Anolis sagrei: one gene and its partner. The main gene of each other region encodes a partner of the protein of the gene in region 2 in a complex. Links are inferred from orthologs where the notes say so. Each region holds a gene or a part of one and is shown on either strand. Other genes may lie near its edges.

Evidence for each region.
Region 1: the proteins of KIFBP (region 2) and kinesin-like protein KIF18A are in contact, whole or in part, in a cryo-EM structure (PDB 7RSI), measured with the Homo sapiens proteins. The link is inferred for Anolis sagrei from reciprocal best matches to the Homo sapiens genes KIFBP and KIF18A. Residues at the interface, in NP_056449.1 of Homo sapiens: Ser150, Glu151, Tyr212, Tyr213, Gln216, His220, Gln238, Ile251, Asn252, Thr255, Gln258, Asn262, Gly414, Tyr415, Val459, Asp460, Leu461, Asn462, Pro463, Gln464, Leu467; in NP_112494.3 of Homo sapiens: Glu181, Thr183, Gln184, Lys185, Gly186, Arg274, Phe275, Val276, Glu277, Gly278, Thr279, Asn280, Ile281, Arg283, Ser284, Leu285, Leu288, Gly289, Val291, Ile292, Arg314, Lys317, Asp318, Gly322, Asn323.

The regions. Positions count from the first base shown.
Region 1 is NC_090021.1:260,362,183-260,378,524, reverse strand, and holds the start of kinesin-like protein KIF18A, read right to left. Parts: upstream 6,850-16,342; 5' UTR 6,678-6,849; intron 1-6,677.
Region 2 is NC_090023.1:170,882,644-170,898,408, reverse strand, and holds the start of KIFBP (KIF-binding protein), read right to left. Parts: upstream 8,904-15,765; 5' UTR 8,845-8,903; coding exon 8,467-8,844; intron 7,115-8,466; coding exon 7,016-7,114; intron 1,938-7,015; coding exon 1,858-1,937; intron 1,770-1,857; coding exon 1,586-1,769; intron 1-1,585. Other genes in the region: DDX21 (nucleolar RNA helicase 2), read right to left, coding at 13,572-13,793, 15,012-15,056, 15,621-15,755. UniProt on the Homo sapiens protein: Activator of KIF1B plus-end-directed microtubule motor activity. Required for organization of axonal microtubules, and axonal outgrowth and maintenance during peripheral and central nervous system development.

The DNA of each region.
Region 1 (16,342 bases), on a different chromosome or scaffold from region 2:
CAAGGACCAAACTGCAATTTGACAAATGAAATTGTTGCCTAATGAAATTAAAAAGGCCACAGCAATGTCTGTTTTACTCATTTAGTTCTCCACACAACAGAGAGAATAAACATGTATGGGCTGATGCTGTTAAAACAAGCAAACACGTTTGTGGGAAGAGTTGACCATTTGACCAGCACAAGATGTGAAATGATTGACTAAATTTTAAGCAACAGTTTAAGACAGGAGTCCTCAAACTAAGGCCCGAGGGCCGGATGTGGCCCTCCAAGGTCATTTACCCGGCCCTTGCTCAGGGTCAACCTAAGTCTGAAATGACTTGAAAGCACACGACAACAACATCTCATCATCCCAAAGTAGGCCCACACTTCCCATTGAAATACTAATAAGTTTATATTGGTTAAAATTGTTCTTCATTTTAATTATTGTTTTGTTTTTAAGTGCTACAAATAAGATACGTATGTGCATAGGAATTCATTCATGTTTTCTTTTCAAATTATAATCCGGCCCTCCAAAGGTTTGAGGGACTTTGACCTGGCCCTCTGTTTAAAAAGTTTGAGGACCCCTGGTTTAAGAGATTGCAATGAAGAGAGATTAATGCCAAATACAGTCCATTACTTACATCCTGTAAAACTATTAATGTCTATGCCATTTCCATATAAATATTTTTGAAGCTACAAATTTTACATACATTTCAATTCCTGTAGCATATTCAGTGAATCATTCTTAGCTTTTATTTTGGAATCCCAGAATGGCACAAACAGTTGTGCATCTTATTTTGAATTAATTAAACTACTGGGGAACAAATGTTATTTGCTAAATTATAATTACAGTATTGTAATGCAAGACATAACAAAAGTGCCTCAAAATGTAGTTAGCTATTCCTATGTGTGCTTCCACTACAATGCTATACATGTCTACTTAACAGTCACTACCACAGAATTCATTAAGGTTTCTTTGCAGGGTAACTGGGTAGCAGATTCCAACCTTACATGTGAAGAAATCTCATTGAATACAGTGAGACTAACATTTAAGCAAATATGGACTTTAGGGATTTTCTGTACGGGAGGGGAAGCTCTTCATTTCTAATTTGTCTATTAACATACAGGAATAGGAATGCAGTTTATAAAAGACAAGCAGCTACTGTACGTACCTATACTTGGCACCATTCTTGACCATGGTAAAATTATATTTTACTGGTATACACACTTTAGAGTTTGGAACATAGACGTCACTTTAGACCAGTGGTTCCCAACCTTCTGAATGCCGTGACACCTTAACGTAGTTCCTCATGTTGTGGTGACCCCAAACCATAAAATTACTTTTATTGCATAACTGTAATTTTGCTATTGTTATGAATCGTAATGGAAATATCTGATATGCAAGATGTATTTTCATTCACTGGACCAAATTGGGCACAAATACCTGATACGCCCAAATTTGAATACTGGTGAGATTTTTTTTGGGGGGGGGGGTTGATTTTGTCATTTGGGAGTTGTAGTTGCTGGGATTTATAGTTCAACTACAATCAAAGAGCATCCTGAACTCCACCAATGATAGAATTGAACCAAACTTGGCACACAGAACTCCCATGACCAACTGAAAATGCTGGAAGGGTTTGTTGGGCATTGACCTTGAGTTTTGGAGTTGTAGTTCACCTACATTCAGAAATCACTGTGGACTCAAACAATGGTGGATTTGGACCAAACTTGGCACGAGTACTCAATATGCCCAAATATGAACACTAGTGGAGTTTGGGGAAAATAGACCTTGACCTTCGAGAGATGTAGTTACTGTGATTTATAGTTCACCTACAATCAAAGAGTATTCTGAACTCCACCAACAATAGAATAGGGCCAAACTTGGCACACAGAACCCCCATACTAACAGAAAATACTGTGTTTTCTGATGGTCTTTGGCAACCCCTCTGACGCCCCCTTGCAACCCCCCCAGGGGTCCCGACCCCCAGGTTAAGAAACGTTGCTTTAGACTAAAAATACACTACGCAATATAAACTTGTTTTGGCTGTTAGATGCCATATAATATTCTGAAAGTACTGAATATGTTCTGATCTTAATTGCTAAGCAGTGCCAGTAACAAATACCAACTGTGATAAGACTATATTTCAGAAGGAGGAACTTCCAGAATTGATGTGGTCACCACAAATCAACAGGTGACTAGCATGTATGAGCACAAAAACATCGAATGAAATTATCTAAAGTAATTCTTAATGCATCCAACATATTCTTAATATCTGTGGCATTCTACAAATACCGGCACACTTACATCACGCTGCATTTGCGCTGGCACATGAGTTCTCAAAAATAACATATTTACAGGTGGACATAACTGATTCACCATTAAGTACCTGTAGTTTTGCTCATTAATAATGTAGGTAATTTTTGAAAAAAGATCCTGTTAATGTCACATTATATAAAAATGGGAAGAGGGGGAGGCATCTTGAGACACCTTTAAGTTGAACCAATTTATTTCAGCATAAGATTTTGTGGACTATCACTCAGTGCTGTGAAATCCTAATCATATCTATTTAAAGTCTCATTCAATTCACTGAAAACTACTTCCAGGAAAGAGGGTACATAAGCCATTACGTAGGACTTTAGTGACACAATACACTTGAGACAGTGCTCCTGCCTGTATCAGAAGGTGACCAGAGTTTCACTCATCCTGCACTATAACAGTTCAGTCAGTGACAGCATGGCAAGGCAGTTATGAGGAAGAATACGCCTGACTTTTGTCCTATCTTTCAAATCCCACTTTGGTACAGTTAGTTACCCTGGTAGAAGGAAGTGACAATTCTTATCTTTATAAATACAGACAACTGGGAGTTAACTTGTAGAGAGATAGCTTCTTCATTCAATTACAGTAAACACTCGTTATATAGCATCTTAAAAAAAATGTAGTGCAATGTATTTTGCAGAATAAACATATACCATAATATATGTTGGGTTTTAAGATGTCACTAGAATCTGTTTCAGCTGGGTCAAGTTCGCACTACCATACATACTTTAGTTTCAGTATGCTTACTCAGACTGAAGCCCCTGTTCAATAGAGTGTTTCAGAGTAGTGGTTTATATTCCATCTTTCCCAATGGGACTAAAGCAGTGGTTCCCAACTTGTGCTCCATAAGAACTAAAATATGGGCCGCGGCCTCACAGTTAATACCTCGTTGAAACAAGAGCAACTGGTATTGCTAAATCCTCTTATAGTGCCGAGGGTTATTAAATATGGTTTTCTGTGGGCAAACAGATGGCGACTACTGGATGACATATGTTCTGTATCATAAACTAGAGCTGATGTGGTCTATCCAATGTAATTTTCTGAATCAGCACCTCAAACAACCAAACCAAATCTAAAGTTGACCAAAAACTAATTTGGAGAGTGGTCCATGGTTAAAAAAAAAGTTTGGGAACTACTGGACTAAAGGATGCATACAGTGTAAGATTAAAGCACATCAGCTAAAACAATATGAAGTACAAAGGTTAACAAAACACTAACAGACGTCGATCTATCTTCGCTGAATGCAGTAGGATCAACTCCCACATAAACATTGTTGGGATTTCATTTTATTGCCTGGTAAGTAAGACAGCTTGATCCAAAGAACAATGCTTTTCTGAGCTCAGTTGGAATTATTCCCACGTGTTCATACAACTGCAACCTTAAAGGTGATTTGAAATGAAGAAAGAGAGCCTTGTGATACTTTCAGAACTAACCTGGTTATTTCAGTATAAATCTCCACTGGCTATAGCCCACTTCACCATATACCCCAAAGGTGCCACATCCTGCCTGATCTTGGAAACTAAGCATGGTCAACTCTGGTTAGTAACTGAATGGGAGACTTTCAACAAATAGCAAGTGCTGTAGGCTTCCTATTTCAGAGGAAGGAACTATCAAATTATTTCTGAATATTCCTTGCCCAAGGAAATCACATAAAATTAATAGGATCATCATAGATAACTTGAAAGCATATCAATGTATACACACATACATATATGTATGTGTTGATTATAATTGACCACGCTAAGATTACAGTAAAGTATGTGGCCCTTTCCCTCACTTTTTATCCCTTCGACAAACTTGCAAATTGGTGTGATAGTGGCTGCTAGCCCATAGTTACCTAGAAAGTTGGATATGAACCTGAGTCTCCAAACAGGTTCATAAAGGTGACTTTACCTTCTCTTTTTATACATTACATCATTCATATGAAAGACAGTGTTTTTAATCTAACTGTTCATAATTTTGTTATTTGATTGTGCTGTACTTTGTGTGTTATATTTTTATGTGTTATTAATTGTTTATTCCACTTTATTCCACCCATATTGAGACCTAAATTATGCTGTTGTTGGTTCTGATGATTGTTTTATATTTTGTTATAATTGCTGCTTTGTGTTATTTTAAATTGATTTTATGCATTCTAATGTGCTATATTTTAACTCTGTTGATAGGGCTTGGCGCCATGTAAGTCGACCCGAGTCCCTTCGGGGAGATGGAGGCGGGGTATAAAAAATAAAATTATTATTATTATTATTATTAGAAACACAACAAGATGAGTCCACAGCAGACACTCCGCTGGCTGTTGAATTGGATCACACGTCGAACACTTCCCAAGTGTCTAGGACTGTGTGATGTATTGGCGAAAAATGTGTGCAGATCCAGGTAAGGTGGCCTTCTGCAGCTGGTAATTTTGTCAGCGCCGATTGTGTTTAAGTGCAGGCCAAGGTCTTTAGGAATTATTATTATTATTATTATGTATTTTCTTATATTGCACTTATTGTGTTATTTATGTTGTAAGCTGCCCCAAGTCCCTTTTATTATTATTATATCATTATATTATTATTATTATTAATGATCTTTAGTCTAGAGGTCTTTCCAAAGAAAATTAAGGCATTTTAACCTCCAGAAAACTGGCAATGTAGATGATAGATAAAAAGTTCAAATTACAGCTCCTGCAACATATCTATGTATAGAGAAAGTGCTCAAAATACAGCCTCTGAAATGTTATAGACATGTACACACGGAGATACAAAGTCATGAAGGGATCCTATATATTCTGTACACAATGTAGTATTTATTTATTTATTTACTTTGCTTGTATACCGCAGTTTCTCAACCTGCAGGCGACTCAACGCAGTCAATGAAACAACATACAATATTTAAAACCATTAACAGCACAATATACAAAATAATGACACATCAATACAACACATTAGCATCTCATAACTAAAATCGTGATCCAATTCGTCATCCATAAATTCCGTTTCCTATATTCATCGTTCATTGCACTATTTATCTGAACGCCTGTTCAAACAGCCAGGTTTTTAGTTTTCTTCGAAACACCATTAACGAAGGGGCTGATCTAATGTCCCTGGGAAGGGCATTCCACAGCCGAGGGGCCACCACAGAGAAGGCCCTGTCCCTCGTCCCCGCCAGCGTGCTTGTGATGCAGGCGGGATCGAGAGCAGGGCCTCCCCAGAAGATCTTAGAGTCCTGGTGGGTTCATAGGCAGAGATACGTTCGGATAGGTAGCTTGGGCCAGAACCGTTTAGGGCTTTATAGGCCAACGCCAGCACTTTGAATTGAGCCCGGTAGCAAATCGGCAGCCAGTGGAGCTGGTGCAGCAAGGGAGTTGTATGCTCCCTGTGCTCCGCTCCTGTTAGTATCATGGCTGCCGAGCGTTGGACTAGTTGAAGCTTCCGAGCCGTCTTCAAAGGCAACCCCACGTAGAGAGCGTTGCAGTAGTCTAAACGGGATGTAACCAGAGCGTGGACTACCGTGGCCAAGTCAGACTTCCCAAGGTACGGGCGAAGCTGGTGCACAAGCTTTAACTGTGCAAATGCTCCCCTGGTCACCGCCGAAACCTGGGGTTCCAGGCTCAGCGATGAGTCCAGGGTCACACCCAAGCTGCGAACCTGCATCTTCAGGGGGAGTGCGGCTGTAACACTATGCCCTGTTCGGCCTTGTGACTGATCAGGAGTACCTCTGTCTTGTCTGGATTCAGTTTCAATTTGTTCACCCTCATCCAGACCGTCACAGCGGCCAAGCACCGGTTCAGGACCTGGACAGCCTCCTTAGTAGCAGGTGGAAAGGAGTGACAGAGTTGGACATCATCTGCGTACAGATGACACCGTACCCCGAAACTCCAGATGATCTCCTGCAGCGGCTTCATGTATTGGATTTATAAGATTTGATTTTCCGCAAGTAATGGAAATTTATTTCCTATATATATATATATATATATATATATACTGTATATGATGTGATTGTATTGTAAATTAAAAACAAAATAAATAAATAAATGAGTTGTTAATTACTGAAATGCCAGAATACATATGTGTGTGTGTGTGAGAGAGAGAGATAGGTAGAGCATAGGCATGGGCAAACTTGGGGCTTCCCTCCAGGTGTTTTGGACTTCGACTCCCACAATTCCTAACAGCCTCAAGCTTAAGCGGCCCAGGGGAAAAAGAAAGGTGCCTGAGGCTGTTAGGAATTGTGGGAGTTGAAGTCCAAAACACCTGGAGGGAAGCCCCAAGTTTGCCCATGCCTATGCTCTACCTATCTCCTCTCTCTCCCTCCTGGCCTAGTTCAATGGCTTCAAAAGTTCATTGCACCCGAGCTCCTCCTCACCCGTCCTAATTGGTACATCTTTAACCTCTTTAACTCACCGGGACCCCGAAGAGAGCCTTTGTTTACTCCCAACCCGCGCCGCGTCTTTAAGGCGTCGGCACCACTGGAGTTCTCTGGCCTTCCGGCAGCCACCAAATTTAAACCCAAGCGGTTTGGAGCTCTCTGCCTCCTGGTTGGCTCCCGACCGCGTGACGTCACCTGCGTTACTGCGGGGCGGGCGAGGAGGAGCTCGCCTCTTTTGTCCCAAACGGGGACCCGTCCCTCCTTAGCCCAAGCAGAGGGAAAGGTGGGCGGCTCCTCTTTCTCTCTCTCTCTTTATGATGGTAATAGGAAGTTGGGTAGTATTGGCAAGGAATGAATGAATGAAGGAAGGAAGAGGTTTCTTTGCTACGTAGATGAGAGAGGGAGGAGGAGGAGGAGGTGTGTGGGGGAGCTTCTGCTCATGGCGGAGAGAAAAAGGGAGGCTGGATTTCATAAGCGCATTCTAGAGCTGGGCCGGGACAGGAGTGCAGCCTGGTTTGTCTCCCATTCAATTACTAAACATTACAGCCGGCCATCCCCTATCCACGGATTCTGTATCCACGGCTTGGAAACATTACAAACAATTGAATGGGGACACAACACATACACACACCTTCACTTTGCCATTATTGTGCCATATTTTAACGAATAGCACTTTCAAGAGGGTGCTGATTTGTGTTGATGTATTTACTAATTCATCACACTAGGGAATGAATCCACTTTAAATCCGGTTTCTGCCTCCTGCAGAAATCTAGAGTTTGTAGTTTAGTGAGGAGGCTGTTAAGTCTCCTCCCTAAACTACAAACCCCAGGATTCTGCGGATTCATTCTCTAGATTGAGATCCTTAATAGATTGTTAGTTATTGCAATTGTCTTTATACCCTAATATTTAATTCTATTCTAATGTTTATACATTTTCGGGTTTAGTTTTTAAAAAAGGATTGTTAGTCTGTGGCCCCATCTACCCTGTCACAGAATGCAGTTTGGATCTGCATATGAGATTTGCCCATGCCTGCTCCAGTCTTGAAGCCCTGCAGACCCAGCGACTGCTGCCTCTCCTCCGCCTCCTCCAGCCACTGACGTCACGCGTCACGTGGGGTGCCTGCTTCTCTGCGCGGCGTGGGCGGCTGGGGTTTAAACTTCATTTCAACCGCAGATCCCTCCCGGCCTCGCAGCTTCACACCGCAGCTCTTCCCTCCTCCAACAACCCCCCCCCCCCAAAACCAAAACATCAGCTTTAAGTAGAGTGCAGCCAGCAATGCAAGCCATTCTGATTCTGGCCAGGAAGATTCTGTGCTATTATTATAATCCAGAAACTTAATGTTCAATTGGTCCACCTTCCGGAAAGAACTAAAGACGTGGATGTTCTATTGTGCCTTCGACTAGCTAGTCCCCCCAAATAGTTCTGGCTCTCAATTTGATCCTAAATAGATGTCACACATTACCATTGCCCTGGTTAGAGATATAATGCTCCCTTTATACTACCCCTTAGGTCGAAATCCCGTTATGTCCTTTCCTTTAGCACTTTATTCAGCAACCCTTGTTTATTCATTTAGTCGTTTCCGACTCTTCGTGACCTCATGGACCAGCCCACGCCAGAGCTCCCTGTCGGCCGTCACCACCTCCAGCTCCTTCAGAGTCAAGCCAGGCACATTTTCTCCTTCAGCCAGATATCAATCAGTACGGTTGCGATCAACCCTATCTTTTGTCAAATGATCGGCACCAGTTATCCGCCCGAATTCAGTACTGTGCACTATTCAGACCATTGAAGGTTGCCAGATGTTCGCTATATAATGCATTTTGTGGTGGTTTTATATTGTTTGAAATGTTTTTATGACTTGTGTTGTTATTTTAACCATGTTGAATTTTGGGCTTGTCCCCATGTAAACCGCTCTGAGTGCCTTTGGGGAGATGGAGGTGAGGTACAAAAATAAAGTTATTATTGTATTATTGTTGGTTGAGACTAATTGGAAAAACTAGCAAAATGTACTGCAGGAGGTCCCGCAAAAATAAAGGGCACCTGATGAACCAACCTGGACACAGCATATTATTAGAGAACACAGAAATGCTGGACTACTCAAGTACCATGTCAGACTACACAGAGAAGCCACTGAAATCCACAAGCATGTGGACAATTTCAACAGAAAAAAAGAAACCATGAAAATGAACAAAATGTGGCTACCAGTATTTAAAAAACTCTAAAATCAGGACCTAAATAAAGACAGAGGAGCTTCAGACATGATACAATCAGGGACAGCGAATCAGCTCTCAACAAAGGCAGTAACAAGCCACAGCTTGAAAACTGCTAGGCCATTAAATGCTAATCAAGGTGGCCAATTGAAACGTTCACACTTACCTGCAACAACAAAAGGTTTTTTTTTTTTGCAGTTTAACTTTATTCTTGTAGCCTGCCTCCATCATCCCAAAGGGACTCGGGGCAGCTTACATATGGCACAAAGTGCCAAAAACAGAGCATAAAATAAACACACAGTACAATATAATAAAGTAAAACATATAGCATATAAGTCAGTTCAGAACTCAGAACAATGCCCAATAATCTATAGTGACAACTATTGTAATTAACTTTTCCCCATGTTTTTTAAAATGATACATCCAATTAGGAAATGACATTTATAGCTCAGAAACAAAAAATTCTCTCCTGACTTTTTGCCCACATGTATGGCAGGCATCCTGAGGTTGCTGGAAACTAGCCAAGTGAAGTTTATATATCTGTGGGATGTCCAGGATGGGAGAAAGAACTCTTGTCTGCTGGGGGCAAATGTGAATGTTGCAATTGGTCACCTTGATTAGAATTAGTAATCATTAGTAATATGTGTTTATGTTTTAGTAACCCGGCTCGAGTGTAAGAGGCGGGCAAGAAATAAAGCTATTATTATTACTCAAAAGGGGGGAAGGAAACGTGAGAAAAAGAAGGGGTGTCTACTCCAAGGGGGAAGGATGGAAAAAAGGGGGGCACTGGCTTTTAAGAGGAAGGGACAGCATGTAAATCAGGGGTAGGTGTCATAAGTCTTACAATATCATCTATTCTATGACCTGGAACCTGAAGCTATAGCTAATACCAAATAAGAGACTCCCCTGGGCACACAGAAGGCTGGGTGATTTGGAAGGCGGCGAACAGACTGCGCTCTGGCACCACAAGATGCAGAGCCAAAGTGGAGTCCACCACATGCGAGTGTGAAGAGCAAACCACAGACCACCTGGATTATTGTAGGTTTTTTCGGGCTATATGGCCATGTTCTAGAGGCATTATCTCCTGACGTTTCGCCTGCATCTATGGCAAGCATCCTCAGAGGTAGTGATGTCTGTTGAACTAGGAAAAAAGGTTTATATATCAGTGGAATGACCAGGGTTGGGACAAAGAACTCTTGTCTGCTGGAGCTAGGTGTGAATGTTTCAACTGACCACCTTGATTAGCATTTGATGCCTTGGCAGTGCATGGGGCCATCTTTTGTTGAGAGGTCATTAGATGTCCCTGATTGTTTCCACCTATTACAATGCAATCTGAGCCCTGCACAGTGGAGGACCTCCTTATAGGAACACCAGAGGCCAGCTACCGGTCAAAGGACATTTAGTATAATGTCAAGTTTTAAAACTGTCTTTTTAAAAATACAGTACAACTGTACCCCTGGTTTGCTTCTGATATGATAAATAAAATAAATCTATTCTATGCAGTCCAGTGTGGTCCTTGTTTTGATTATTTCAAATGAAACAATGAGCCAAGGATGAGGTTTGCTGAGTCCCACAGAAGCTTGCAAAGCCAACTTTCAGCCTTCTGGAGGAAAAAAAAAAGACGTCGTCCAACTGAAGACGTGTCCCGCCTCGGGATTTTTGGTCGAGTTCTCCCCCCTGGGACCAACCAAACGGCTACCATGGGCCTGACTGGAAAGATGTTAGCGCCGGAGTGAAAAGTCCGCTTCCCTCCTCAGTAGTCTGTGGAAGATGAGGAAGAGGTGGCTTAGCGGAACTCAAGGCAGCGGTGCCTTGTTGCGCGGAGGACTCTTATTGGCAGCACTCTAGTGACGCAACGGGGGAACCTGCGGCGTGGCGCACCGGCCTCGCAGCGCGGGTTGTGAGTATCTCTTCAGTCTCCAAGCGCCGGGACTGACGGACTGGCGGGCGGGAGGGAAAGCGAGAGGGAGAGGGAGATCCGAGGAAGGAAGGAAGGAAGGAAGGAAGGAAGGAAGGAAGGAAGGAAGGAAGGAAGGAAGGAGGAGGGAGGGAGGGAGAGGCAGGCTGGCCGGCCCATAGACCCTGGAGACGCCACGTTGCCTGAACACGCCACACGCAGGCTGCTCTGCGGCTCCCACTCACGGGGCGCCCTGGTTGCCACGGAAATGGAGGGGCTCCTCAGGTTTCGCCTCCCAGAGACTCCTGCCTTGCGCGTCTTCACTACGCCAGAGGATACAGCCGCATTGTGGAATCGATGCACCTTTACCTGCCTAGGGCTTGTAGTTTGGTGAGGCACTCTTTGGCAGAGAAGGTGCAGTGCTATGAAACCTAGGGAGCTGTGCATTGGTGACCTCCCAAGTTCCAGTCCAATACTCTTTGACAGAGAAGGCTAAAGACCTTGTAAAACCACAGCTCCCAGGATGCTGTGGCATCAAAGTGGTGTCAAACTGCACTGTTTCTGCAGTGTAAACACAGCCTTTGCTAAAGAGCTGCTAGGAAGAGTGGCATACCGAAGAAGAACCAAACAATAGTACCAAAATGGCCATGAAACCAAAATGAAGAGTTTTCTCTTGCTATAATAATAAAAAAACTTTATTTATAACCTGCCCTCGCTCCCTGAAGGAACTCAGGGTGGTTTACTGAAATGACAAAAATGGCAAGCATTCAATGCCAAAAAATTAAATAACAATCAAAGCAAAACATAAAATTAAATAAATCAATATAACTTGTAAACAACCGAAGTCAAGGTTTAAGCTAAATAAGCGTACTACTTCATCACGCTAAAGAAAAAAATCCACTTAAAATCTGGTTTCTACCTCCTGAGAATTCTGGGGTTTGTAGTTTAGTGAGGCCATTAGAGGCTCCTCCCAAGGAAACAGACCAATTAAAACATTGTACATTAAAAGCACAGTGTAATATATTTCTATAGCAGTATTATCCCATGTTAACTGCCATGGCTGCCATTATTGCAATTTAGAGGGAAGCGTTTGAATTCTTGGAGAGTTCTTGCCCTCATTAAGATATAAACTCCAGATTTGAGAGACATGACCTTCTTTGTGGTGGCCTCTCAGCTATGGAATTCCCTCTCAAATGAGGCATTCTCTCCTGACGTTTCACCTGCATCTATGGCAAGCATCCTCCGAGATAGTGACCTCACTACCTCTGAGGATGCTTGCCATAGATGCAGGTGAAATGTCAGGAGAGAGTGCCTCTAGAACATGGCCATATAGCCTGAAAAAACCTACAGCAACCCAGTGATTCTGGCCATGAAAGCCTTCGACAATACATTGAAATTAGATCTGCTCCATCTCTCCTGGCCTTCCTAAAAAAAGTGAAATCCTGACTGTGGGGTCATCCAGGATTTCACGTTTTTATCTTAGTTAACAAAATGAATGTGTTCCTGGGCATTGCTTTTAACAAAAAATGTGCTACAGGTGGCAGAAGTAACATATAAAGAAAGAGGATTACAATCCTACTCCACAAAATAAGTTAATTTTAACATGTTTCAGCAAACGTTTTATCCAAAACTAACAACATGCACATATGAAAGGCTATTAGAAGTAAACAAAACCATTTGAAACCTACAAGAGTCTGAAAGCCTCTTCCAAAATTTATCCAGAGGCAATTGGCTATGTTCTTCTGATCTCCATTTTGGTGACCAAGCTTATACATTTATGCTTTTTTAGCATACCAGATTAGTTGGTAAGGTGTGACTGTCTCTTTTCCTGATTGTTTTATTGTTTACTTTCTTAGTAAAGGATTTGTGATGCTGCTGCTATTGTTAGTAGGCACACAGAGCTAAAATAGGATTTACATATTAGAATCATACACTATCCCAGATCAAACTGTATGTCATTGTTTACTGTAAACACTACTGCAACATGACAGTGGTAGTCTGTGTTTCTCCAACTCGATCTCCGAAATTCAGCTAAAATATGTTCAGCTAGAGAGTACGAGATTGGACAAGAGTCTAAGCATGTGAAAAAAGCCTTTTTAAAAGGAAGGTTTTTTTGTTAAGGGTCTTTCTCAGGCAAGGGCAAACTTCGCTCCTCGACTGCTTTGGACTTTCACAATTCCTAACAACCTGTTAGGAATTGTGGGAGTTGAAGTCCAAAATACCCAGAGGGCCAAAGTTTGCCCATGTCTGGTCTTTGTTAATTGAGATATGTCTGTTTTGCAAAGACTGCTGCAGTCAGTTTGGAAGGAGATTATTGGTGTGTGAATCAATAACGTGGATGGTCCATCCATTTCCTCGCAAGATCTCTTCAAGTATTATTTGGTCATTCTTTCCACAAACACTAAACCATGGTCTCCACAGCTTAGTTGTGGCTGTTCCAGTCATACATTCATATAAATTTATATATTTATATTGTGGTAAACCATAGCCTCATGCAGCTGGTTCGTTCTTCCTTGGAGTGGCAGGACCTATTCATCTGAAAGCATCTCTTTTGGCATTGTTTAAAAGTCTTACTTTATCTGGCATTTCTGTTATTGATTTTTTAAAAGTTGTATATTTCTCTCTTAATTATTTTTCATACTTTCCTCCGCCTTTTTTTGAGTAGAGGCAGTTTTGGTTGGGATATTATGAGCTATTTTTTCTAACACTAAATTTAAGTCCATTATTTACTGTATCTAATGATACCTTTCAGTTTCTGCTGTGCATGCCAGAATACAAATAGAAAAAACAAATAAGAAGCAGAAACTTTGGGTTGTTGAAGACATTTCCATATAGGTGTCAAATAGCATAATGAACAATATTGAGGACAAAAGTTACTAAAATGGATAATTCAGTGAGCTTCCTTCCCTTCCTCCTGATACTAGAGAATGCATAGCTAAGATAGAAAACAAGTTTAGACATTGATACTTAGATGCTACACAGGGTATATAAATTGTTCAATTTGGGCTGAAAAATGATAAATTCCTGATAAATTCAGGGGAATCAACAGTGGGCACATCCAAATGCTCGAGCTGCTTTTGAGCTCATGGAGCAGGGAGCAGGGAGTTCTCCTTATTTGTGATGTGCTGAGTTAATGAACTTGCAAAGAAAACAATTTCAAATGAAAAGGCTATAATTATAATTCATACATGGTTAGTCAAAAAAGAACCCTAATGTAAGGGACATGGTATATGGTTGAAACAATGACAGTTGTTTATAGACTGCATGGATTCTCCCAGGAGCCGTAATACAACACCCCTGATTTTGTCCTTAAATTTCTCATATCTGCTAAAGTACTTCTGGTTTTGAAAAGGAGCCTACTAATCTAACACAGATCATAAAGAGGGTGATAGCAAAATTGCCTCAGTGCTGTCAAGGAAGGAGAAGGGGCTTCTTGAAGTTTTTGTCTAATGGTATGCCAGGTGAAAGCTCTCAGAGCTCTGTGAAGGAAGGGGGTGCTTTCTTGATTTCTGGGTGCTACTTATCACATACTTGGCTTTGAACATAAATCATTTACAGCAGTGGTTCTCAACCTGAGGTACCCAGAAGTTTTTGGCCTACAACTCCCAGAAATCCCAGCCAGTTTACCAGCTGTTAAGATTTCTGGCAATTGAAGGCCAAAAACATCTGAGGACCCCAGGTTGAAAACCACTGATTTACAGGATTACAGCAATACATTGTTCCATATTTTTCTAGTAAGATAAAGTACATTATCAAATAGATTAAATATTTTCTTCATGAGAAAAATATGGGACAGTATGGCTGCAATCTTGTAAATGAGTCATGTTCATTAATCAATGCATGGAGTATGTCTCGGGATGAGGACAGTTCGCAAACGTGGAATTTGCAGTTAAAGAATGGTGCAGAGGCTCTTCCCCCAATTGTAGATGAGGCAGAAAAAGAACACACTAGGGAGAATGAGGGGTTCTTGTAAATATCTGACTTGATTATCCTTAATTGAACCACCTTGAGTTGCCTCCAGTTGAGAAAGGCGGTATACAAATGCGGTTAATTAATTAATTAATTATTGCAGTGGTATGCCTCTGAGAAGGGGGCCAGTTTAGAGTTACGCAATCCAGGGTTAGGTTTCAGGGAGATCTGCAGAGCACCTTACAGGAAAGGGACCCTGTCAATCCTGAAAGAAGACGGGGGTTGGTCATAGGCGAACAGAATTGGTGATTTGCAAACCTGACAGGATATCTAGAGAAATATGCTGCCTCCCTGGGGCAAAAATCCACCACGTGACTCAGCAGCTGACAAGACTAATCAAACCCACTGATTTCCTCCCCCTCTCCCCTTCATGTTGGTTCATGTAGGAACCAGCAATATTGCAAGGCATAGTCTCCAAAAGATCAAAAACTATTTTGAAGCTCTCAGAAGAAAGCCGAAAGACCTTATTGTACAGGTGGTCTTTTCATTTCTTTGTTGTACGATGCAGCCCAGGAAGAGAGAGAAAAATAGTAGAGGCGAATAACTGACTCCACAGATGGTGTCAGGAAGAACAATTCGGCTTCCTGGTCCATGGTCTGCTTTTCCAGGAAGATGAGCTGCTGGCATGGGATGGGTTGTTCTTCACAGAAGTAGGAAGGGATATTTTTCCTCAGAGACTAGTGATCCTGATCAGGTGGACTTTAAACTAGGTTGTGTGGGGACGGGTGACAATATCCTTGGGAACAGTAGTATATCATCATCATCATCATCACTTTATTTCTTAATTAGTCGCTCTCTACCAAAGTTCTCCGAGCGACTTACAATTCAAAATAGCTTATACACAATATAAAACATTCAATATAAAAACATTCAACATAAAAACGTTCAACATAAAAACATTCAGCAGTGACTATGGCAAAATTTGATCCGATTACTTAAATGCACAACCAAACAGCCAAGTCTTGAGCGCCTTTACAAAAGGTCGCAACTCCAACATTGCTCTAATATATGGAGGCAATGAGTTCCATAGAATTGGAGCATAGATCGAAAAAGCTCTACGCCTTGTAGCTTCCAAATGTGCCTCCCTAGGACCCGGTATGTATAGGAGATTTTCCTGGGTGGATCGAGGTGACCACTGATGGGGAAAAGGAATGAGGCGGTCCCTAAGATATAAAGGTCCTTGGCCATTTTGAGCTCTAAATGTCAGGATCAGTATCTTGTAAGAGATCCGATGTTGTATTGGTAGCCAATGCAGTTGTTGCAGAATCGGTGTAATATGGGATCTTATAGATGATCCCGCTAGCAGCCTGGCTGCCGCATTTTGGACCATCCGAATCTTCTGGGTCGTTGACTTTGGAAGGCCAACATATAAGGCATTGCAATAGTCCAACCTAGTGGTGACTGTTGCGTGGATTACCGTTGCCAATGCTTCTACCGAAAGGTAGGATGTCAATTTCCTTGCCTGGAGAGGCCCAGAGTGAACAAGCAATTTCCTCGCCAGGCAATTTCCTTGCCTGGTGAGGCCCAGAGTGAACAGCCAAAAGGCTAAAGAGAAGATTGGACAAACACAACAAGTATCAAGCAGTGAGAGGAAAAAAATCTCAATTGAAGTTGATTTGAAGGCAAA
Region 2 (15,765 bases):
AGCTTTGCAAATACATTAAAAGAATACAAAGGAATTAGACAGAAGTGATACTTTCAAGGCAAACCTGGAACACGCCAGAGTTGATAACCTAACTTTTAAATCAATTTTGTGTATGCCCTGTTAGTAGTCTGCTACCTAGAGCTTTTTTTAAGTTGACAGGACATGAAGTAAAGAAATGTTGTAGTAGTTAAAACGTTATTAGTTGTGGGAACATAGTAATCCAAGGATGCAATACCAAAACAGCTGACTCCGTCTTCACAGTGGGCTCTTATTTCTAAAATCTTGCATGCCTATATGCAGAGATCTGTGAATCTCTTCCCACAGCAAAGTACATGTAATGTTCCTCTGTGACTCCCCGACTTTGGAACTCTTTACCTGGAGAGATCAGGAAAGCCCCTTCACTAGAAACGTTTAAAAAGAACCTTAAAACCTGGCTCTTCCGCTGCATCTTTGGTGAGTAGGTGCACACAATGACCTTTTGCACCCCTCAACGTTTTTGTTACTAGAGCTCGCACCCCCCAAATGAGAAGTTTAGCGTCACAACTCTATGTGTTTTATAAGTTCCCCGTAACTGTCCTGCTCCTATTTTATCTCATTACAGTCTTTAATTGTTTTATCCTGTATATGCGGCCCGCCCATTGTTATCGTTATCGTGATTGTGTTTATTAGAATGTTGTTTTATGACTGCGTTTTTTTAATGTAATTTTGATGATGTTGTTGTTGTTTGTACTTTGATTTTATTGCTGTAATATGTTATCCGGGCTTGGCCCCATGTAAGGCGCTCTGAGTCCCCACTGGGGAGATGGTGGCGGGGTATAAATAAATATTATTATTATTATTGTCGAAGGCTCCACAGATATATAAACCCTTTTTCCTACTTCCAACAGACCTCACTACCTCTGAGGATGCTTGCCATAGATGCAGGCGAAACGTCAGGAGAGAATGCCTCTTGACCATGGCCATATAGCCCGAAAAAACCTACAACAACCCATTATTATTATTATTATTATTATTATTATTATTATTATTATTAAAGCCCTTTAAAACAGGCAATGGACCTATTGCCTGTTTCCGGCAGAAGGACTACTCCCAGGGTGATATTTGCCTATTCGTTCCCCCTCCAACACCACCTTTCATGTTGTTCAGATGACTTCCTAATCCTCTGGAGCAAATCTCTGGGATGGAGCTGCAGGGATGGGCAGAAATAGGCAAAACCAAATTCCTATTCATTCCTGTCAACGAGAAATGGTCCAGAAGACCAAAAGCATTATTTATATGAACATTCTGTCCATCGAAAACAAGATCTGGAGCCAAAATACTTTAGTTGGCCTTTGACTTCGCTGATCTCAACAGGGCTGAGATTTGATCAATGCTGTGACACTCTATATGTTACTGACCCCCATTCCCATCAAGGCCAATCAGCTCACACAACACTGTAGGATAATAGGCACAGTGGTTCCTAAAGAGATAAAAGTGCTATAGCTTCCTAACATGACTGTAGATGCAACCCATTCCTTGACAATACAAATCACATGACACATTATAAAAGTAAATTAGATGGATGGAAGAACATTTAAATAATTACCTTTGTGAGATAATATTGAGACAAAGTAGCTGCATTGAAAGCCCATTCTACTGGGTAGTAGCCACTATACTCAAGCTGCCGTTTGAGGGTAGAATGGCAGTACTGTGCAGCCTTCTCAATCATTTCCAGATGTTGGTAGACTTGAGCCAAATAATACAGCGTATGAGTATAGACTTTTTCAAATCTGAGGAAACAGGGTTTTCAGGTTTAATTTTAAAAGAGATGACCACCCAACCACCCAAATTCCAACTTCGGCTTCAGTGAACACAGACCTTTTTGATCTTTCTTGATCAGAAAGCTTCTCTTCTTCAGTCATAAAATGTTCACTGGAATCAAGCGGAGGGTTTCCATTCTGCAAAACACAACATACAGTTAAGATAATCTATACAGGAAATTTCCGCTCTACTAGTTGCATGTTAGTTCCGCTCCGATAGAAAAATAAAAAGCACTAATAGGAAAGTTGCGCTCATTCAAAAAAGCTGGCTTCATCCTCCATGAGCCCCAGCCAAGATGACAAGTGTTTCGGGATGATTAAATATGTAGCCCAACATTGCCAGAGAGCTGTGGATTCGCCTCCTTTTCTTCCAATGAAGCACCTTAAGAGCCGTCGCTCAGTTGAATTCTGCCAACTGAGAGAGTATGCTGGCAATGCTGCCCTAGCAAAGGAAAAACCACGCTGGCAAAGAGAAAGGGGCGGAGAAAGGGGCGGGGAGAGGCGGAGTCTCGTGACGTCAGGGACATGCTAGCAAGGTTTTCTCCCGCAGGAACAGAGTTTGCGACGGGCCTAATAGCTCCCAAAAGTATTTGTATTCCACAAAACAAGTGCCAAGGACATCTGAGGCAATTAACTCTGTTGACTTATTAAAACAGAGTCTGCATATGGCCAAACAATGATTATGCAAACCTAACTGTACTTCTACAAGCTTTTACTCTCCATACACAAAATCGTTATTGAAATAGCAGAAGTGCAATCCATTACTTTGAGAGTGATTTTTTAAATGTTTCAATAAAAGTAAGAGTATAGCAACAAAGACTTTTGAGTTGTTGTAGGTTTTTTCGGGCTATATGGCCATGGTCTAGAGGCATTCTCTCCTGCCATTTCGCCTGCATCTATGGCCACAGATATATAAACCCTTTCTCCTAGTTCTAACAGACCTCACTACCTCTGAGGGTGCTTGACATAGATGCAGGCGAAATGTCAGGAGAGAATAACTCTAGACCAGGGATCCACAAACTTTTTAAACCAAGGGCCAGGTCACAGTCCCTCAAACTGTTGGAGGGTCAGATTATAATTTGGGGAAAAAATGAATTAATTCCTATGCACACATCTTATTTGTAGTGCAAAACACTTAAAACAATACAATAATTAAAATGAAGAACAATTTTAACAAATATAAACTTAGTATTTCAATGGGAAGTGTGGACCTGCTTTTGGCTGATGAGATAGGATTGTTGTTGTTGTTGTTGTTGTTGTTGTGTGTGCTTTCAAGTCGTTTCAGACTTAGGTTGACCCTGAGCGGGGGCCGGGGAAATGACCTTGGAGGGCCGTATCCGGGCCCCGGGCCTTAGTTTGAGGATCCCTGCTCTAGACAATGGCCATATAGTCCGAAAAAACCTACAACTCAGTGATTCCGGCCATGAAAGCCTTCAATAATACAAATACTTTTGACATCATTAAGCATTCACTATTCTCAAACAAGAGTTGTTATAACAAGATACAAAAGATAAAAGTAGGAGAATCAACCCATGCAGGTATATTTATGACTAACCGTCCCCTGCCATGCGTTGCTGAGGCCCAGTCTGTTTATATGTGCTTTGTGTGTGTATATGTGTATGTGTATATATTTGTGCTGTTGTCCGGATGCTTGACCACCGGATGTCTCCCAAAGCAGTTGCTCTATCCTGAACTCAAGAATGGAAAACAGAATGTTGGAGGACAGGAAAAGAGATTTAAAGATGGCCTCAAAGCCAACCTTAAAAACTCTGGCATAGACACTGAGAACTGGGAAGCCCTGGCCCTTGAGTGCTCCAGTTGGAGGTCAGCTGTGACCAGCAGTGCTGTAGAATTTGAAAAGGCATGAATGGAGGGCGAAAGAGAGAAACGTGCCAAGAGGAAGGCGCGTCAAGCCAACCCCGACTGGGACCGCCTTCCACCTGGTAACCGATGCCCTCACTGTGGGAGAAGATGCAGATAAAGAACAGGGCTCCACAGTCACCTACAAACCCTCCGCCAGGGCACTACACTTGGAGGACCATCATCCTTGGACTACGAGGGATTCCCTAAGAAGAAGATATATTTGTGTATATGTATATATATGTGTGTGGTTTTGTGCATGCGTTGTAATGTATATATCTTTTTAATTTTTAAGTCTCTTCTGCTGTGTTTTTCAGTATTTTTATGAGTGATAGTCACTGGTTGGCCAAATACGTGTATTGTGTCCAAATTTGGTATCAATTCGCCCAGTGGTTTTTTTAGTTATGTTAATCCCACAAACGAACATTACATTTTTATTGATATAGATTAGCATGAAGAACAAGTCATCCGTTCTGAATAATTAAAGAACACAAGTTCCTGTAAAAATGTAATAAATAGTAACTTGATTGTAAGTCTTGATACTCCATGGACATCAATAAAAGAAAACAGTAACCAATTGTTTTTTAAATTACTGATGAACAAATCCACTACAGTAAGCAACCTCCCCACCCCCAAATTAAAAGAGCTTTAAATTAAAACCTGAAGTAATGAGTCCCCCCACTGAATCCAGCTCAAACAACTCAAGCACCTCTTCCCATGAGATTCTGTAGACACATTCAGATCCTCAGCTGGATCTAGATCTTCCAAGCCTTAGAGACTTTACATATGTATACACAGAAGGGTCTTCTCCTATCTCCATGACCTCAAAATCCACACATCAGTTGTTGAAATTACTATATACTATACCAAATTCATCAGAATAGAGAGTTAGACACATCTGTCTATACATATAAAAGTCCAAAGTCAGTCTGTCTAACACACCTATACCTATAACTCTTGCAATCCAAATTAATGGAGAATGGGAGACACATAAAGATTCAATAGGATGTTGTTATTATTACAACAAAGGAACACAGGAAAGAACCTGGAAACCACCACGCTTGACTCGGGATCCAAGCATAAGTAAGGAGACACTTTGAACCAAGCAGATCATGAGTGGATAAAACATGTAGATGAACAAGGTCGGTCATACTACTACAATGCAGACGGATCTCGATCAGAATGGGATTTTTAAAAATTAAATTTAAGGGCATTGGGATTGTGGCGCAGCTGGCTGAGTGTCAGCTGCATTAAGATCACTCTGACCAAAAGGTCATGAGTTCGAAGCCAGCCCGGGTTGGAGTGGGTTTCCAACCAATTGTGTGTAGCCTGCTGTTGACCTTTGCAACCCGAAAAACAATTGCATCTGTCAAGTAGGAAAATAAGGTACCATCTTATTGAACACACTGCAAAAGTATGAATTCTGACAATATGGAAATGGCAGAGAAACGCTTATAGAAATGGACCAACGAGCACCTTGCAACAAAGTGAGATGTAAATGGGAAAAATCAGAAACAACCACACAGATCTGAGAGACGAGAGCCCTCTCTCCATAGCACTATCATAGTCAGAGTAACTAAAAACAAATTCAGGGAACTAGAATCAAGACCAATAAACAATTATTTTTTGGATCACACTTCAGGATTTGTACAGCCTTCCACTGTTTTTTCTAGGAGTCGTGTCAAGAGGGCTGGAAATGGCTCCTGAGGCTGCGCACTGTATAAATAGTGCCTCGGAAGGTCTAACAAAGGGCCCATTGTGCAAATGCGATGGCACAGCAGAGTCAACAACTCAGAATGCTGCTTGCTATGCATCAAGAGTTTAGTCTATTGTGCATCTTACTGAAATGTAGAGAGAGGTTTTAAGATAACTAAACCCACTTTGTTCTGTGTAGCATTATGTGTCGAAGGCTTTCATGGCCGGAATCACTGGGTTGTTGTAGGTTTTTTCGAGCTATATGGCCATGGTCTAGAGGCATTCTCTCCTGACGTTTCGCCTGCATCTATGGCAAGCATCCTCAGAGGTAGTGAGGTCTGTTGGAAGTAGGAAAAAGGGTTTATATATCTGTGGAATGACCAGGGTGAGACAAAGGACTCTTTTCTGCTGGAGCTAGGTGTGAATGTTTCAACTGACCACCTTGATTAGCATTTGATTGCCTGGCAGTGCCTGGAGCAATCTTTTGTTGAGAGGTAATTAGATGTCCCTGCCTGCTTCCTCTCTGTTGTTGTGCTGTTGCAATTTTAGAGTTTTTTAATACTGGTAGCCAGATTTTGTTCATTTTCATGGTTTCCTCCTTTCTGTTGAAATTGTCCACATGCCTGTGTATTTCAATGGCTTCTCTGTGTAGTCTGACATGGTGGTTGTGAGAGTGGTCCAGCATTTCTGTGTTCTCAAATAAAATGCTGTGTCCAGGTTGGTTCATCAGGTGCTCTGCTATGGCTGACTTCTCTGGTTGAAGTAGTCTGCAGTGCCTTTCATGTTTCAGCATAGTGATTAGTGTCTATTGGTCTGTGTATTTTTGGTTTTGTCTGTTATTGTTGATATGGTCAGTGGACTAATCTATAAACAGAGCTATCTATCTTAGCATAAGCAGAGCAGTAACCCTGATTCTGCACCAACAGCATAACAATTGTACAAGAGCAGCGGAGCAATGCAGCCTTATTTACTTGGGAGTATTTATACTCTTCCGGGGAGCGGCGTGAGCTTTTGCTGTCAGCCCTAGCTTCTGCCAACCTAGCAGTATGAAAATATGGAAATGTGAGTAGATTAATAGGTACCGCTCCGGCGGGAAGGTAAGGGCGCTCCATGCAGTCATGCCGGCCACATGACCTTGGAGGTGTCTACAGACAACGCTGACTCTTCGGCTTAGAAATGGAGATGAGCACCACCCCCCAGAGTCGGACATGACTGAACTTAATGTCAGGGGAAAGCCTTTACCTTTACTATTATATAAGTAAAATTAAATAGAAATTCTGATAACTTTGGACACAAGCTTCGGCTTAACACCTTTGCTTAAATTGTAGCAATTTTGAAACGTAACATAAAAATGAAATTACAGTGCTAGATAGATTTACTAGATACGATTATAAATTTCTAAAATAATGGCTCCTAAGTGAAAGATACTGGCTCTCAGTTTCACAACATATTATCTAGGTTGCAAAATTCAACAATCATGCACCCAGACAACTTGCTTCTTATGTTATGACCACAGCCTATCAACACCAGAACTTAGAAATTCAATTACTCTCACATCCAAGAATTGACACACTGCAGAAACACAAATAATAATAAAGCTTTATTTATATTCCACTCTATCTCCCCAAAGAGACTCAAAGCAAATTATTTCAACATATTACCTCTTTCATGTACTGGTTATACAAAGCCTCTGCAGATTCCAAATATGGCTGTGCTGTCTTAATGTCCTCTCTTTCTGACCAGAGGATACCCAGATTATTCTGCAAAATAAGGAAAGATTAAATTGTTATTTTAAAAGACATCATACAAAGAAAATGAAATCCTACAAGGGGTGGAAAATGAAAGCTACACTTGTAATTTTAGAGATTTTTAATACTGGTAGCCAGATTTTGTTCATTTTCAGGGTCTCCTCCTTTCTGTTGAAATTGTCCATATGCTTGTGGATTTCAATGGCTTCTCTGTGTACAAAGAAAGGAGAAGACCATGAAAATGAACAAAATCTGGCTACCAGTATTAAAAAACTCTAAAATTACTACAGCAAAACAGCAGAGAGGAAACAACTAGGTACATCTTAACACCTCTTAACAGAACATTTTCCCAGGCTCAGCCAGGCCTTCAAATGCTAATGAAGGTGGTCAGCTGAAACATTCACACCTAGCTTCAGCAGAGAGCTCTTTGCCCCACCCCAGTCATTCCACAGATATATAAACCCATTTTCCTATTTCCAACAGACCTCACTACCTCTGAGGATGCTTGCCATAGATGCAGGCGAAACGTCAGGAGAAATGCCTCTAGAACATGGCCCTATAGCCCGAAAAAACCTACTAGAACCTAGAAGATAGATTCTTTTAAACTGTGGTGTTGGAGGAAAGTTCTGAGAGTGCCTTGGACTGCGAGAAGATCCAACCAGTCCATCCTCCAGGAAATAAAGCCCGACTGCTCATTGGAGGGAAGGATACTAGAGACAAAGTTGAAGTACTTTGGCCACATCATGAGGAGACAGCAAAGCCTAGAGAAGACAATTATGCTGGGGAAAGTGGAAGGCAAAAGGAAGAGGGGCCGACCAAGGGCAAGATGGATGGATGGCATCCTTGAAGTGACTGGACTGACCTTGAAGGAGCTGGGGGTGGTGACGGCCGACAGAGAGCTCTGGCATGGGCTGGTCCATGAGGTCACGAAGAGTCGGAGACGACTGAATGAATGAACAACATAAATCCCAGTAACTACGAATCCGGACATACATTGGGTTGTTAGGTGTCTTGTGTCCAAATTTGGTGTCAATTCCCCCAGTGATTTCTGAGTTCTGTTGGTAGCACGAACTAACATTACATTTTTATTTATATTGAAGATTATTATTTTGGTCACAAACCTTTTAGATAAGGGGTATTCAATCTTAGCACATATAAAGTGTGCTTATGAAAAAAGTGATGGTGGCTCAATCCAGCTACAGAGATTGTTTAAATATAAAAATAGAATACATTTCTGTGCTTTAAGCTCTTTTGGGTATGCTCCCCCCTCCTCTGTAATGCAGCCCTCTGTTGTTCTGTGACGTCACCACGCGCGCCCTTAGTGACGCCACCGCGCTCTTCCCTCCCTCCCCCGCCCGTCCCACCTGGGCCTGGATGTAGAGGGAGACGCAGTCTCGCGAGAGGCGGTGCCGCTCCAGCAGCTGGAGGCACTTGGCCAGGTGCTCCTCTCCGGCCGAGCGTTCCTGCGTGTCTGTGTGGTTCATTCCCAGCTCGTACTCCACCGCCGCCAGCCGCGCGGCGCGCATGCGCTCTTCCTCGGCGCCCTCCTCCGCAGGGCCGCCCTCGGCCTCGCCAACCTCCTCCGAGCCCAGCGACTGCTTGATGCCTTCGAGCAGCTCCCGGGCGCTGTACTTGGAGCGGTACGGCTCGGTCTCCGGGTCCTTCTTGGACTCCACGTAGGAGAGGTTGAGGGCGTTGCGGAACTTCTCGCACAGCGAAGCCCACTCGGCCGGCGCCGCCATTTTGTCCGCCTCTCCCTCAGCGCGTCTCCAGGGTTTCTAACCCGACCGTCGACTGGCGCGCATGCGCAGTCAGGGAGCGCGCCAGAGAACGTCCTCTTGGCTCCCTTCCCTCCGTTACAGCCGCCTTCCACGCTTCTCAGTTGTTGTTCAGTCGTTTAGTCGTTTCCGACTCTTCATAACCTCATGGACCAGCCTCCCTGTCGGCCGTCACCACCCCCAGCTCCTTTAAAGCCAAGCTAGTCAGTTCAAGGATCCCATCCATCCATCTTGCCCTCATGGACCAGCCCAAGCCAGAGCTCCCTGTCGGCCGTCACCACCCCCAGCTCCTTTAAAGCCAAGCTAGTCAGTTCAAGGATCCCATCCATCCATCTTGCCCTCATGGACCAGCCCAAGCCAGAGCTCCCTGTCAGCCGTCACCACCCCCAGCTCCTTCAAGGTCAAGCCAGTCAGTTCAAGGATGCCATCCATCCATCTTGCCCTCATGGACCAGCCCAAGCCAGAGCTCCCTGTCGACTGTCACCACCCCCAGCGCCTTCAAGGTCAAGCAAGTCAATTCAAGGATCCCATCCATCTTGCCCAAGCCAGTGCTCCCTGTCAGCCGTCACCACCCCCAGCTCCTTCAAGGTCAAGCCAGTCAGTTCAAGGATGCCATCCATCCATCTTGCCCTCATGGACCAGCCCAAGCCAGAGCTCCCTGTTAGAATCAAAGAGTTGGAAGAGACCTCATGGGCCATCCAGTCCAACCCCCTGACAAGAAGCAGGAACATTGCATTCAAATCACCCCTGACAGATGGCCATCCAGCTCCTTAAGCCGCTCCTCATAGGGTTCGTTATCCAGTTCTCCAGACCCTTGATCATTCTAGTTGCCCTCCTCTGGACACATTCCAGCTTGATAATATCAAGCTGGAATGTGGGGCCATCACCACCCCCAGCTCCTTCAAGGTCAAGTCAGTCTATTCAAGGATCCCATCCATCCATCTTGCCTTTGGTCGACCCCTCTTCCTTTTTCCTTCCATATTCCCCAGCATCATTGTCTGGAGAACAAGCCCTGTGAGGAGCAGCTTAAGGAGCTGGGCATGTTTAGCCTGAAGAAGAGAAGGCTGAGAGGAGACATGATAGCCATGTATAAATATGTGAGAGGAAGCCACAGGGAGGAGGGAGCAAGCTTGTTTTCTGCTTCCCTGGAAACTAGGACGCAGAACAATGGCTTCAAACTACAAGAAAGGAGATTCCACCTGAACACGAGGAAGAACTTCCTGACTGGGAGAGCTGTTCATCAGTGGAACTCTCTGCCCTGGAGTGTGGTGGAGGCTCCTTCTTTGGAGGTTTTTAAACAGAGGCTGGATGGCCATCTGTCAGAGGTGCTTTGAATGCAATATTCCTGCTTCTTGGCAGGGGGTTGGACTGGATGACCCATGAGGTTTTTTTCCAACTCTAGGATTCTATAATTCTATTGTTTTCTCTAAGCTTTCCCTTCTTCCTTCTTCTCATGATGTGGCCGCTGGGCGTCTTTCATAACCAGTTGTTTCTACTTAATGTGAATGTGGCAGTTTTTTTTAATATGTGTATTTGTAATATATACATTGAGTTAATTTAGTTATTTTCATATTACCACAATCAGTGGGTTTTGGTCTCCATAGTTTCAGGGTAACCCATTTTTCTTTTTGGCATTATGGGTATCTGCCAGGTGTTGGATTCCTTCAGCCTTCTTTCTCCACCAGATGTTATTGAGTTCTCTTGTCCTTTGGACCTCAGCTTTTGCACTAACGTAGATCTTTTTCTTAGTAGCACAGTTGATATCTCTCTGCCATGTTTGGAAGGCTTTCCTTTTCTTGTCAAGTTAGCTGTTGGATCTCGTCATTTTCGTCAAACCAATCTTGATGTTTCCTGGTTTGATATCCAGTAGTTTCTTCGCAGGCTGTGATGATGGAGGTCTTCAGTTTGTTCCAACGTTCCTCAACATTTTCAGGGTGTTCTGTGGGTAGATGGTTCTTGAGTGCTGTTTGGAGATGAGCTCGTTTGGAGGGCTTCTGAAGGACTTGGGTGTTCATTTAGCACCGTGTCTTTCTTCCTTGGAGTCTGCGCTTGGGGGCCATCTTGATAGCCATCGTGGATTGGATTAGCCTGTGGTCTGTCCAGCAGTCGTCAGCACCTGTCATGGCTCTTATGAGAAGCATGTCACAGCCGTTTCTGGCCCGTGTGATTACGTAGTCTAAGAGGTGCCAATGCTTTGACCGGGGGTGCTTCCATGATGTCTTGAACTTGTTTTTCTGGTGGAAGAGCATGTTGGTGATGACAAGGTTGTGTTCCACACAATGCCATTCGAGTTGCTGTTTCCAACCCCGTCTTTTTCTATGATCCCTGGCCACAGGTCGAAGTCTTGCCCGACTTTTGCATTAAAATTCCTCAGGAGGATGATTTTGTCCTCCTTAGGTATCTCTGATAGGACGGTGTTCAGCTGACAGTAAAATTTTTCCTTGATGTTTTAATCAGCATCTAGTGTTAGTGCATAGGCACTTATGATGGTTGCCTGTTGGTTTTTGGCAAATTCAGTTCGGAGGGTTGAGAGTCGTTCATTGATGCCAGTGGGTGCTTCGGTCAGATGTTTCACCAGGTCATTTCTGATAGCAAAGCCAACTCCGTGCATTCTTTAGTCTTAATCAGTCAGGCTCTTCCAGAAGAACATCTCTCTTCCAACAAACAGTAGGCAGGTGTTTGCATGTCTGCAATCTGTGTGGTCCCAAAGTCTAAAAAGTCTGTACTCTGCTGGTTCCAGAGCGGATCATGTGGTCTGCAGCCCCTCCCACAACTTCTCAGGAGAAACATAGAGCAAGGAAAGAAAGTTGCATATCAGAGCATACATACAATATCTATAAGCAACAAGCTTATTGTAAAGGAGACCGTTTTAATGCCACCGAATGCCACCAAATGTGAAGGTGCGAGTGGTAAAACACCCACTGCCACCTAATCTATGAGGGAAGCCAGGCAACGCTCAATATCAACCTAGGAGCTATTTTATAAAGGGACTGTTAATTACAGAAGGCTTTATTTATTTGATAGCGTAGCGTTTACTTTCCTGGCTTGACTTTACTATTGCAGGCTGTTCAACTTAGGAGAAATTGTATGAGGCAAGGCTTGAGGAGAACAGTAACAAGTTTATTTTAACAGGAGTATAACATGTTTAACTGTTTCTTCAAGAGAGGCACAAATCTTGATGGTTACATTGGAAAGGTTTCATAAGTAATCTCAGGCACAGACTTCAAAACGTTTCACAGCAGGCACAGCAGGCTTAAACCTAGCCAAACCTTGATTCTTAATTCAGAATCAACAACCCCCTGTAGCTCTCTCACTACCGGGTCCTTCTCTGCAACCACTTTGGTCACCAATTGATTCCCTGAATCCCCACCCTGAGATTCAGTCTTTCCTATAGCACACCGGTTACAGACACTTTTCCTGAATCTCCACCTAGAGACTCAGTCCTCTCAGTAGCTCTCCGGCCACTGACTGACTTTTTAAAACAGCTGCCTCCTGAAGAGGCAGTTGGCTCCGCCCCTGTTGCTACGGCAACTTAGCTAACGCCAAGCCACCATCTCCAACAAAACATAATCTCCCATACTTACCATCCCTAAACCACTATGCAAACTACACATAACCAAAGAAATAAAACTTACACATCGTCACACTTATAGATAAACCAATTGCTAGAAGAGGATGGAAGAAGATACAGAGGGCCAACAATTATTTTTGTACATAGTGGTGGTGCAAGTGTGCAAAAGGAAATTGCAAATCTTGGACTTTGGCTCAACATCTCAAAAACAGTACATAGCAAAGCCAACTCCGTGCCTTCTTTGGTCTTCATCAGGCAGTCCCTTCCAGAAGAACATCTCTTATAATAAACAGCAGGCAAATGTTTGCAAGTCTGCAATCTGTGTGGTCCCGAAAAAGTCTGTACACTGCTGGTTCCAGAGCGGATCATGTGGTCTGCAACCCCTCCCACAACTTCTCCATCAATATAAATGTAAGACCTCGGCAAACTCACCAGATTAAATACCTCAGCTCAAAAATCACCTCCAACAGAGTTACAAACTGGGTAGGTGCAGGGAATGCCATGAATGTAGCATATCTGGATTTCAGTAAGGCTTTCAACAAGGTCCCCCATGACCTTCTGGCATTTCAGTGGGAGGTGTGAGTCTGCTTTTGGCAAATGAGATCGGATTGTTGTTGTTGTGTGCTTTCAAGTCATTTCAGACTTAGGCTGACCCTGAGTGAGGGCCAGGTAAATGACCTTGGAGGGCCACATCCGGCCCTCGGGCCTTAGTTTGAGGACCCCTGTTCTAAATGTATTACTATAAGAGCTTGTAGCAAATGTGGTAACTGTAGCAGCACTAGGTTCGGTCTTGGTTTATTATGCTAGTGACCTGGTGTGGTGTAATGGCTTGAGCACCGGATTATGACTGGATAACAGGGTTCAAATTCCTCCTTGCCCAGGAAATGCACTATGCAAGTCATATTATCTGTCTCATCTAAACAAATCTTGCTAGGTCAGAAATGACTTGAAGACACAGCAGCAATGAAACGCCAATCCTAATATTTGTCAACATGAGTTTTGCAACCAGACAAAACCAAACTAATAAAAAAGAAAACACATAAGGAAAGTGTAAATCAATTTTTACTGTTGTTAAAACATCCTTTATATTTGACAGTTGCAAATGATCAAAAAAGCCCGGTCAAAAGTTTCGTTTTTGGCCCCTGTTTCTGAATCTGTCACGCCTGTTCGAGTCACCACCGCGTCTTCCATTTCTGAAATTAGAGCCCCCTCCGCCCCCTCTTCTGTTCCTGAAGTCAGGTTTGCCGCCGCCGCCTCGGCCAGGCTCCTTGAGCGATTCTTCAAGCTCAGGTAATTCTGTTGCCACAGAGAGTTGCCAGCGCCTTGAATCCTGCCAGGTTTGCTGATTAAAACAAAAAGCACGTGTCATCCAAGGCCCCATCTATACTGCCACATAATGCAGCTTCAAAATGAAGTTTAGCTGCATTGAACTGCATTATATTAGTCACCCTGTTCTGTGACCCATAAGGAAATGAGGTTAGATTGGATGGGGAAAAGAGACCTTTTATGGCATGCTGGTGCCTGGAGTACTACATGATTCCTATCCTTTGGTGTATAGGCAAATATTTTATATTTTATGTAAGTTATTCAAAATGGCCATACCAACAACTCTTTATGGGCTGTCTTGAGAGGGTAGGAGTTGCAAACATACCTAAGAATAAGAGGCAAATAGCCCCACAAACCACAATAGGAACTGGCCAGGATTTAGCTTATCTTTTTCTACACCGCAAACATGTATATTTAAAGGAAGGTACACTAAAAGTGAGTAGTACCCTAGAAGTACTAACGCTACCTATTCTGAGAATCTTAAAAGGACTGGTTTTCTGGATTAATTCAGGTTCACGCCATAATTGTGATTCCTGTGTTTCAATACTGATGCAAATACCACCTCTTCAACATAATTACAATTTATCTATATAAATAAAAATGTAATGTTCGTTTGTGGGATTAACAGAACTCAAAAACCACTTGACGAATTGACACCAAATTTGGACACAAGACACCTAACATCCCAATGTTATGTCTTTCACTAAAAAAAAATTGATTTTGTCATTTGGGAGTTGTAGCTGCTGGGATTTATAGTTCACCTACAATTCAAGAACATTCTGAACCCCTCCAACGATGGAATTGAACCAAACTTGGCACACAGAACTCCCATGACCAACAAAAAATACTGGAAGGGTTTGGTGGCCAGTGTCCTTTGGTTTTGGAGTTGTAGTTCATTTACATCCAGAGATCATTGTGGACTCAAACAATGATGGATCTGGACCAAACTCTACACGAATACTCAATATGCCCAAATGTGAACACTGGTGGAGTTTGGGGAAAATAGAATCTTGACATTTGGGAGTTGTAGTTGCTGGGATTTATAGTTCACCTACAATCATGGAGTGTTCTGAACCCCCAAATGATAGAATTGGGCCAAACCTCCCACATAGAACCCCTATGTGGGCCTCAGCAACGCGTGGCAGAGGACGGCTAGTTCATTTGAAAAAGAAATGTATATTTTTTAGAACTTTAGTTTAAAAAAAAGCAAAACCCCACATTAGCAATATCTCACCTGTAGTTTAGGTAGTTCAGCTACAGGAATATCAAAACACACACCCTAAACACAAGAGAAATAAGATTCAAAATTTGTCTCCAGACAAAGTAACCTGAAACACTCTGGAAAAATAAGTGACATCATGTTTAAGACATTATAGCAGTCAAGCTACAGAAAATGCTTGTTTTCTTACATTCTTATTTCAGGTATTTGATTCAAAGGAAGACTAAAGGAACAGCTCATGCTAAACTATAATCGGTCTTAAAGGTGTGCTAGATTTGTTTTTTTGTCCTTCCCTTCTTTTTTTAATAATATAAATAAAATAGGTACTGTTGTCTCTAAACTTTCTCAATAATCCAAAGCACCATAACCTTTTTTATTATAAGATGGAAAACTGGGAAGACTGTATCACTGCCTCAAGCAGTGATTCAAACCCAAGTTTTCCTAATAAAAGTTTTGCAAGCTATCCTAGGACAACACAACTCAAAGTTATTAAAAGCTTTCCATAATACCATTTTGGTTATCAATTCAAAATTTTCTCTTTGCACGCCAGATTAGACAAATAGAAAAAGCAAATGCCACAGAATACTCATCTAGTAACATATACTAAACTGCAGGTTTTCTTACCGTTTTCCCCTTGAGAAAGCGCATTCTGAACACTTTGTTGTCAATATCCTCACCCAATTGCTCTTTCAGAGCTCGCCAAGCATAGCCAATTGAGTGCATTTCTACTGAGCACTGAAGCGTTATGGTCACGTAACCCTTCAAAAGA